Linked DNA regions of Rattus norvegicus. Each later gene encodes a partner of the first gene's protein in a complex. Links are inferred from orthologs where the notes say so. Each region holds a gene or a part of one and is shown on either strand. Other genes may lie near its edges. The genes, in order: Dnajb1 and Nudc.

What was found.
Region 2: the proteins of Dnajb1 (region 1) and Nudc are in contact, whole or in part, in a crystal structure (PDB 7NDX), measured with the Homo sapiens proteins. The link is inferred for Rattus norvegicus from reciprocal best matches to the Homo sapiens genes DNAJB1 and NUDC. Residues at the interface, in NP_006136.1 of Homo sapiens: His166, Lys181, Lys182, Met183, Lys184, Ile185, Ser186, Asp201, Lys202, Ile203, Ile235, Phe237; in NP_006591.1 of Homo sapiens: Pro102, Gln103, Ile104, Lys105, Glu106, Leu107, Ala112, Leu115, Gln116, Ile119.

Annotation. Positions count from the first base shown.
Region 1 is NC_086037.1:41,428,188-41,432,701, forward strand, and holds the start of Dnajb1 (dnaJ homolog subfamily B member 1), read right to left. Parts: upstream 2,955-4,514; 5' UTR 2,855-2,954; coding exon 2,644-2,854; coding exon of another isoform or gene 2,472-2,643; intron 1,369-2,471; coding exon 788-1,368; intron 565-787; coding exon 334-564; 3' UTR 1-333. UniProt on the Homo sapiens protein: Interacts with HSP70 and can stimulate its ATPase activity. Stimulates the association between HSC70 and HIP. Negatively regulates heat shock-induced HSF1 transcriptional activity during the attenuation and recovery phase period of the heat shock response.
Region 2 is NC_086023.1:151,041,115-151,045,299, forward strand, and holds the end of Nudc (nuclear migration protein nudC), read right to left. Parts: intron 4,141-4,185; coding exon 3,937-4,140; intron 3,841-3,936; coding exon 3,775-3,840; intron 2,768-3,774; coding exon 2,453-2,767; intron 1,671-2,452; coding exon 1,587-1,670; intron 1,494-1,586; coding exon 1,375-1,493; intron 1,020-1,374; coding exon 968-1,019; 3' UTR 764-967; downstream 1-763. UniProt on the Homo sapiens protein: Plays a role in neurogenesis and neuronal migration. Necessary for correct formation of mitotic spindles and chromosome separation during mitosis. Necessary for cytokinesis and cell proliferation.

The DNA.
Region 1 (4,514 bases):
AGATGGTGGGCCACTGTCACGTGACAGCCAGAACCTAAGGACAGCAGAGGGGAAGAGTCCAGTTGCAGGCCTGCCTCACACCCTCGGGCAGGAGCTGGGGTGCAAAGGGTGGGTCCATTCCAGGAGGGCTGCTGTTCCCACCGCCTGCCTATCGCTCGAAAAACCACTGTAGTCTAGTGCGCGACTTTGAAAGATTGTAATATATTCTGTGGAAAACATTCGGCAGAGCAAAAGCCCTCCCTGGGCCCTCCCGCAGTATGCAACCAGTGGAACGGTCTGGAAATCTGCAGCTCTGGAAAGGTCCCTGGCTCAGTCCTTGAGGAATGCAGGCAGCTATATGGGAAGAACCTGCTCCAGGATGGTTCTGGATGAGATGGGGATCCTATCAGGGAAGATGACTTCAAATTCGATAACAAGGTCTCCACGTTTCTCAGGTGTTTTGGGGAGGGGGAGGCCTTCTCCAGGAACTTTCCTCCGCATGCCAGGCCTGATGACATCTTTGAATACAACAGGAATGGTCCTGCCGTCCAGAGTAGGAACATTCACAGTGCAACCACAGAGAGCCTAGGGAAGCAAAAAGACAGTGTCAGGTAGCAGCTGGCTTAGGAAGCTTGACCCCTCCAGACCAGAACCATCCAGAGAAGGGTCAGGTCCACCAGACCAGGCCTTCCGAGACCCCACTACAAAGCTCCCCATGCTGTCAGAAACAGAGTGCCACCCCCACAGCCTGTTATCCTCAGTACCCATCTCTCTTCATGATTCCTCCTCCCCACACCCAGCACCTTACCTCCCGAAGGCTAATCCTGGCTGGATAAATGACATCAGAACCATCTCTCTTGAAGATATTGTGTGGCTTGTCCTTTAAAACAAAGACGATGTCAGCTGGAATGTTGTTCGAGGTCTGGTCCCCTTCCTTGGGAAAGGTGATTTTGGTCCCTTCTTTCCAGCCCCTCTTCACTTCGATGGTCAGGATCTTATCTTCATTTCGAATGCTCTTTCCATCAGGGTTCAGCCGCTTGTGGGAGATTTTCATCTTCTTGGTACAGCCGCTGTAGATCTCTTCAAGGGAGACCCGAAGGTCGTGGGTGACTGGGGGATCTTGCTTCTTCCGGGTGGGCTCTTGAGTAGGGCGGGAACGTCCAAAGTTCATATTGGTGAAGCCGCCCATACCCATCGGAAAGCTAGAGAACGGGTCATCGATGTCCATGCCTTCTTCCCCGTTGCGCTGCCCAAAAAAGGTATCAAAGGGATTCCTGCCACCGAAGAACTCAGCAAACATAGCATGAGGGTCTCCATGGAATGTGTAGCTGAAAGAGGTACCATTAGCACCACCACTGCTCCCGCCACTGGGGCCACCACCCTTCAGGCCTGGAAAACAAAACGGCAACTCAGGGTTACTGCAGGAGAGTCAGGACCCTTCATCCCAACACTTCTACACACAGATAAAACACAAAGCCCTTGAAACAAAGATCTTGGAACCCTAGCTCTCAAGACAGGAGCAGACTGATCTCTGCAAGTTCCAGAAAGCCAGAGCTCTAACATGAGATGCTGGAGAAATGGCTCAGAGCACTTGCAAAGGAACTATGTTCAATTTCCAACACCCACAAAGCAGCAGACCATGGTCTAACTCTAGTTCCGGGAACTTCAATGCCTTCTCTAGAAGCGTGTGATGATGCACGGAGGTACACACTCAAATAAATTAAAAAATAAAAGTTCCAGCAACAGTGAGGTCCTGTCTCAAGTAAATGGTAACATCTTGTTCCCTTGCATGTATTACTGTCAATTCTAAGTAGCACAAGAACTTGCTGTGTAGTCTAGATTAGCCTCAAGGCAATCTTTCTGACTCAGACACCCCCGGGGTGGGGGGGATTGTCACAACGTCTGCTTCCTTTGGAAACAGCTTACCCTGTAGCTCAGATTTGCAGCAAATTCACAACGTTCCTAATTCAGCCTCCCAAGTGGAGGTGTGAGCCCCAGTACACTGCTCTCAACAAGTTTTGGTCTTAGTAAAAAAGCAGCAGAAACTATAGTGTGTGTGTGGGAGGGGGTGAGGGGAAGGAGTTACGTGTATATTTTTAAAAGCTTTTCCACTTAAGTCAAGGACGAATCTCAAGTCTTTAACTCCCAATGGCAACAGGAACAGGAAACAAACCACCCCGTTTAACTTCGTGACAACAATTCAGTAGAAAGGTCTCTAGATGTTGGTGCCACCAGGTTGACGTGACTGCTCCATCCTCCCAGCTATGCTGTAACACCTTACAAAGAAGTTCCTACGCACTAGTACCAGAAAGGTTCAACTTTGGGTAAGCACCGAGCTTGCGGCTGGGAAAGGGAATCGACACTTGGGCAATTTTCATTCCCATCGCGACCGCCGCCCCCCGCCCCCGTCTGCAGCATTCCGGCGCTGTGCAGGCGGCCGGCCGGGAGGGGCTGCGGCAGACGTGCTAGAAGCTTCTGTGCTAGCGGCGCACCCAGAGCTCCTCCTCCCGTCTGAGGCCGCCGATTAGAGAGAAGGTGGAGGAGGCAGCGCCGCCGCGGGATCCCCGGACCATCTGTCCCCCGCCGAAGCCTCAGAGAGGCCCCGAGTGCCTCGGTTTCCTCGCCTGTCAAACGGCGGGTCACCCGGGCCGCGCGCACGCGTACCTTCCTCTCCATAGCGGTCGAAAATCTCGCGCTTGCGCGGGTCGCTGAGCACGTCGTAGGCCTCGGCGATCTCCTTGAACTTCTCCTCGGCGCCGGGCTCCTTGTTCTTGTCCGGGTGGTAGCGCAGCGCCTGGCGGCGGTAGGCCCGCTTGATCTCGTCGTCGGACGCGCCGCGGGCCAGGCCCAGCGTCTGGTAGTAGTCCTTGCCCATGGCCACCGCCGCCCAGCTGTCGCCGCCTCCGGCTCCGCTGCTGCCCCGTCCCGGACTCTATATACCCGTCCGGCGGAAGCTTCCAGATCCCGCCAGCCCTCCAGAACCTTCCGCCCCTCCCGATGCGTCGCCCCACACCGGCCAATCGCTGCAGCCCGCTGCGTGACGCAGCTCATCTGGGGTGGGACCCGGCGGCCAACGGCTTTCCGCGCGGGGCCACGCCCCTTCTCTCTCTCCCCTGGTCAACGCCTTCCTCGGACGCGCGCGCCGGCTGCCGAGGTCCCGCCTTCGCGGCGGATCCAGCCAATCGCGACCCGCTCTCCCTGATGACGCGAGGGGGCGGGCTACAGAGGCGGCCCTCCCGGATGGCCGCACCCTTTCCCCAGGTGATCGCCGCTGGGCGGTTCTGATGCGTGACTTATGGTAGCTACCTGATGTGTAACTCCAAGTCTTCCTGCTTCAACCCAGGGATAAAAATACGCACCCCGCCCTCTTCTGCCCGTAACCCTTTGTCTTCCCGTACAGGCCGTTACTGTAAAGCGAGGTGAGGCTGGTCTGCCTTGGGATTGCCCCAGTCGGGCTGGGTTATTTTACTTCCTACTAATTCCTATTGGAATTAGCTGGTTTCTTGGCGTTCTTGGTGTCACTTCCTTTGCAGAGAGTGAAATCTTTTTAAGATCCACTAGGTGCTTCGTAAATATTTCCAAATACTTTGACATAGATGTTTTTTGCTTTGGCTTCGTAAGCCTGGGATGATACGGTCAAGGACACTGCTGAGTGAGGAAGAGGACAGAGCTTCTGATATTGGAAGCTGGAGGAGTCAGTGGTGGTTCTTGCAGGGAATTGCCTGGAAGACAGTGCATGAAAGGCTGACAGTAATCCTAGCACTTTCTGGCTGTGTGACTTTGTGCTGGTAAAGTAGCCATTCTGGTCTCAGTGTGCTCATCTGTATAATGGGAATGGTCGCTGTATTATGGTTAAGTTGACATTATCCAGCATTTGTGAAAGTGCCGTAGACAGACAAGGTACAAAGGAGGTGTTCTTGAAAGGGATGATTAATCATCTTGTTTAGTGGACAACTGTTGACACTCACTTTCTGGCAGCCCTGCAGCATGAGAGTCTGATAACCCTTGCCTTAGGCACCCCTGAGAAAAACAACCTTAGCCATCCCATGATGGTATAGCTGTGTGTGTTTTGATTTCCCTGACCGTACTGACCCTGTGAAAGCTGAACCAGTTGAGTCCTCCTTCCCCCAAGATGGATTTGGGGCTAGGAAACCCATTAGCTTATCAGAGAGGGTGTCCCGAACCAGTCACTTGGAGAGAACGTGTCTTTAAAGATACCGAGATATGAAGAGCCTATCCTGGCACAGTGACTTGTTCCTGTAATCCCCGTGCCAGGATGCTGCTATAGGAGGAACTCCCATGTGAGGCCAGCCTGACTTCAAAATGGGTGAATAGAAATCAAAAGTATATAATGAACAGAAGAGGGGCCCAAGGGAGAGCACAGGGCATGGGAGTTCTTTACAGTGTGTTTTTTTTTTTTTTTTCTTTTTTTCAGAGCTGGGGACAGAACGCAGGGCCTTGCGCTTGCTAGGCAAGAGCTCTACCACTGAGCTAAATCCCCAACCCCTACAGTGTGGTTTTAATGGAGAAGTGCA
Region 2 (4,185 bases), on another chromosome or scaffold:
GGGAAATACTATAGGACAGAGGAAATCAGAAGACCTAACAGTCCCTAAATCCTAGCCTTGGCCTAAAAACCAATTTTCCAGCAGCTTTCTGAAGTAGGTTTACATTCCCAGGGAAGTTCTATCAAAACGGCTGAGTGGTTAACTTTAACCTGCACACCTCTGCGTTCATTGGCCCTGACCCTTTGGCAGAAGCAGATGCTCCAAGGGCCAGATCTAAGCAGAAGTTACCTCCTCAACCCTTTACCGTGTGGCTCTACCAGACTATACCCGCCTTCCCAAGTCCCACTCCCAGGCAGTGTCCCAGGCTTTATTACTCCCCTGGCTTTGTTCACACAGTCCAGTCTGAACACTTAATTCTGGGACTGGCTCCTGATGTCTAATGGGAATCTGTAGCCAGAGAGACTCAGCTTTGCTCAGAACCACACGTGAGGTAAGGTGACTCACTCACATGAGCCTGGCAATCTATGTTCTATCCTCACAACCCATGCAAGCATGGAGAGAATTGACCCAGAAAGCTGTCCTCTGAACTTCATACATACATACATACAGCACACACACACACACACACACACAGCACTTGTGCACATACAATGTAAATTAAAACTTAAATCCCTTGTCATAGTCCTCCCTAAAGTCATAGGAGCAACAGACCCAGAGAGTCGAGACCCTGCCCTAGCAGGTAGACTGCCGCACAGCAGACCAGGCTAGAAGCCAAAATCCCAGCTCCTAGCAGCAGCCAGAGGGTCTACACAGGGGACATAGGTGGAACAGAGTAAATAGTTTTAATGTGTAACAGGACAAATAGCAAGGACAAGACCCCCAAGACCCAGCCCTTCTCCAGTGAATCCCTGGAGCTCACATGCCTGGGAAGTCCCACGCCTGCCCAGCCCTAAGGCTCCTGGGTCTCAGGAAAGGAAGTTGAGTGGCTACGGGCTCAACTGCAAGAGTTCAGGAAGGTGAACAGGAGCTAGTTGAATTTGGCCTTGGAGAAATCCATCTCTGGGTGCTGATCCATGAACCTAGGAGGCAGAAGTAGAAAAGTGATCTCAGCTGTCCACCTCAGCCCCGACACTGGGCCTGACCTCCTCAGAACCCTGAAACACCCGGAGCCAAGCCTGCATCAGAGCCCTTAGGCCAGAAGGGCAGGTGCCAGCAGGTGGCACCAATCCTGTTACCTACTGCTTCCTACTCTTAAGGTAGCCTTGTCCTAGAGGTGACAGTACCAAATGGTCAGGTGAACAAGCCAAGAGAGAACCATGAACTTGGCTAGTTTATGTTGCAAGTGGGCGGGGCAGTCCGTGTTCCATTTAGTGGCACACTGCTGTCACACAGGTCTAAGCCCCCAGCAATCCTCCCCACGCCCCAGTCGCTTACTTCTTCAGGATTTCCTGTTTCTTCTGCTCATCAGAGGTGGGCAAGCCCATGGACTTCTGCCTCTGGTCATACATCATTTTTTCCACCATGCTGCGAGTCTCACTGTCCAGGTCTGAGAGCTAGGGACAGGCAGGAAGAAGAGTGAGTCCAGCACTGGACTGCCTCTCCTGGAGCTCCACAGAGAAAACCTCCCCTAGCAAACCGGGACTCACCTTGGAGTTCTCAGGGTTAATCTTCTTGGTATTGATTTCGGGGTCACTGGTAACCAAGCGGTTCCACCACTCCATCTTATTGATCTGAGGAGGAAGAGGGGGAGGAAACCCATGGGGAAGGAGAACCCACTCCATGGCCTAGGAATTACAGCTCAGCCCTTTTAGAGATAAGCTCTCTCCCATCCACACTGTGTGTGTGCTAGGCCCAGGACAGGAGAGCCAGACCTCTGCCCGCCCAGCAGAGGGCACAAGACACAGAGGCCAACAGTTACAAATCAATCACCTGGAGCAAGAAAACACATAGGGTGGCCACTTAGCCGGCAGGAGAGAAGCTAGAGTAACAACTGGACCTTAAGGCATTGCAAGTAAACAAAAAGAAAAAAGAGCAAAGAACAAGAAAGGAGATTCTGGCTGGGAGAAAAGTCAAGTACCAGGGCAGAGACCATTGAGCTGCAGCCAAAAAGCACCATCTTCTGTGCCAGGGGAAGTGTCCATGGGCCCTCGGCTCTATCCAGACACCACCTTTATTCACCCAGTAAATGTCCCACACCTCTAGGAAGGAGAGTGGGAGACATGTGGGTTCTCTGGGGGCAGATTTCTCTACACTCTATTCCCCGTTCTCTCTCCAGTCCTTAGAACAGGCCTGGCAGAGCAGAGCACGGGTTCAGGCACATGTGAACGGAGCCCATGTGCAAGCTGATGGAGAGGAACAAGACCACTCGACCCCAACCCTGCCCTCCCGCCCCAAGCGAGGCACACAGGGAAACCGTAGCTGTTTCCTGACTATAAAAGCAGAGTGAGGAGTAAGCCCACAAGGCCTGAGCAGTCAGGGGGTGTCAGCACCAGCTAGGAAGGGCCGCTTGTACCTTCTCCAGATGCACTGTCACCACCTTGCCATCCTCGATGAGCCACGAGCTCTCCTCCACCTTTACTTCATTGTAGAGCTCTCCATCAATCACTGGTGCCTGTCCTTTGAGGCCCACCCGGAGGTGCCGCCGCTGGATGTCCACCACCACATCCTTTCCCTTCAGCCGGAAGCTGACTCGGAAGGGCACTGCCAGATCCAGCTCTGACAGGGTCTGGGTCCAGCGGTAGTTGGGCAGGTCAGCCCCATTGCCTAGGTTGGGTTTCAGCTTTCCTTTGTCCTTCTCGTCTTCCTCGTCTTCCTCTTCCTCAGCATCCTGCTCAGTCATGGAAGCTTAATGACTTACCTGACAGACCAGACTTCCACCAGGCCAGGCCCACAACTGCCGCTAGACACAACAGCCACAAAAAAGCAAGGTAGGCATGGCCGACCTACACACCCTGGGCCACTGGGAACCAAAGGCAAAAACAGGTCCTGATCTCTGCCAGAAGGGCTCAAACTATATCAAGTGACACAGGCTGTGGCTGAGCCAGTGCCCCTCAGCCCACCCTTCATGGTATGCTCTGACTCGGGAGCAGTTTAAGAAATATTACAAGTATATGAGTATTTTGCACTATGTCATACCTAGTTCAGAAGACCCCCTAGCACTGGAGTTAAGAGGCCATCATGAGGGGTTGGGGATTTAGCTCAGTGGTAGAGCGCTTCCCTAGGAAGCGCAAGGCCCTGGGTTCGGTCCCCAGCTCCAAAAAAAAGAACCAAAAAAAAAAAAAAAAGAGGCCATCGTGAGCCACCACTAAGCTATCTTTTCAGTCCACCTGAGGGTTTTCTTGTCCCAGGATTAAGGCCAGTAGAGTTATCAAAAAGTATTACTATTGTTGCTGCTATTACTAAAAATAATCTAGTAGTAGTAATAGTAGTAGTAGTAGTAGTAGTAGTAGTAGTAGTAGTAGTTACTACTGACAGTCTCTCTACATAGCCCTGGCCATTCTAGATCTCAGAGATCCACCTGCCTCTGCCTCTGCCTCCTGAATGCCAAGACTAAAGGCGTGTCACTAAGCCTGGGTTAAAAGAAAATAGTTTTCATTTCTATTTGAGATAGGTTCTCACTATATAGCACAAATCTGCATCAACCTTTTTGCCTCAGCCCACCAAGTGCTGAGATTATCATCACAGCACCACTCTGGCTCTGCTCTGCTTTTTTCCCTGTCTTTGGGGTGGGGCTTTGCAGCATGGCAAGGCCCCAAGGCTGGGGAGAGGGGAGGGTGAGGAGGGAATTCTGCTGAAGGGAGGAGACCACTGCCCAGGCCTGCTACTCCACCTTACCTGCTTCCCTGGAGAGTCAAGACTGCCGTTCTTAAGCTGCACCTCATGGTTCTCTGCATCCTTTTTCTGTGGCAAAGGGCACAGAGTTGGATCAAAACCCTACTTCCCAGGGCCACTGCAGTTGGGGGCAGGGTGGAAGTAGAGGAGGACGCCCGGCCTCACCTGGTCAATCTCCAGCTGCAGTCTCTCTGCCTCCTCATCAGTCAGTTCCTTGATCTGTGGCCCGGGAGTCTCTGCCTTGGCCTCCTTGGCCAGCCTGGCTGCCCGCTCTGCCTTCTCCCGACGCTCTGTCTCCTGCCGAGCTCGCTTCTCTCTCCTGGCCTTCTGTGCCAGCTGGTTGTGGTGGTTAAAAGTCTGTGTGATGAGCTAAGGAGGACAAGAAAGCATCAGAGTAGGGACAGTGTCTTAAAG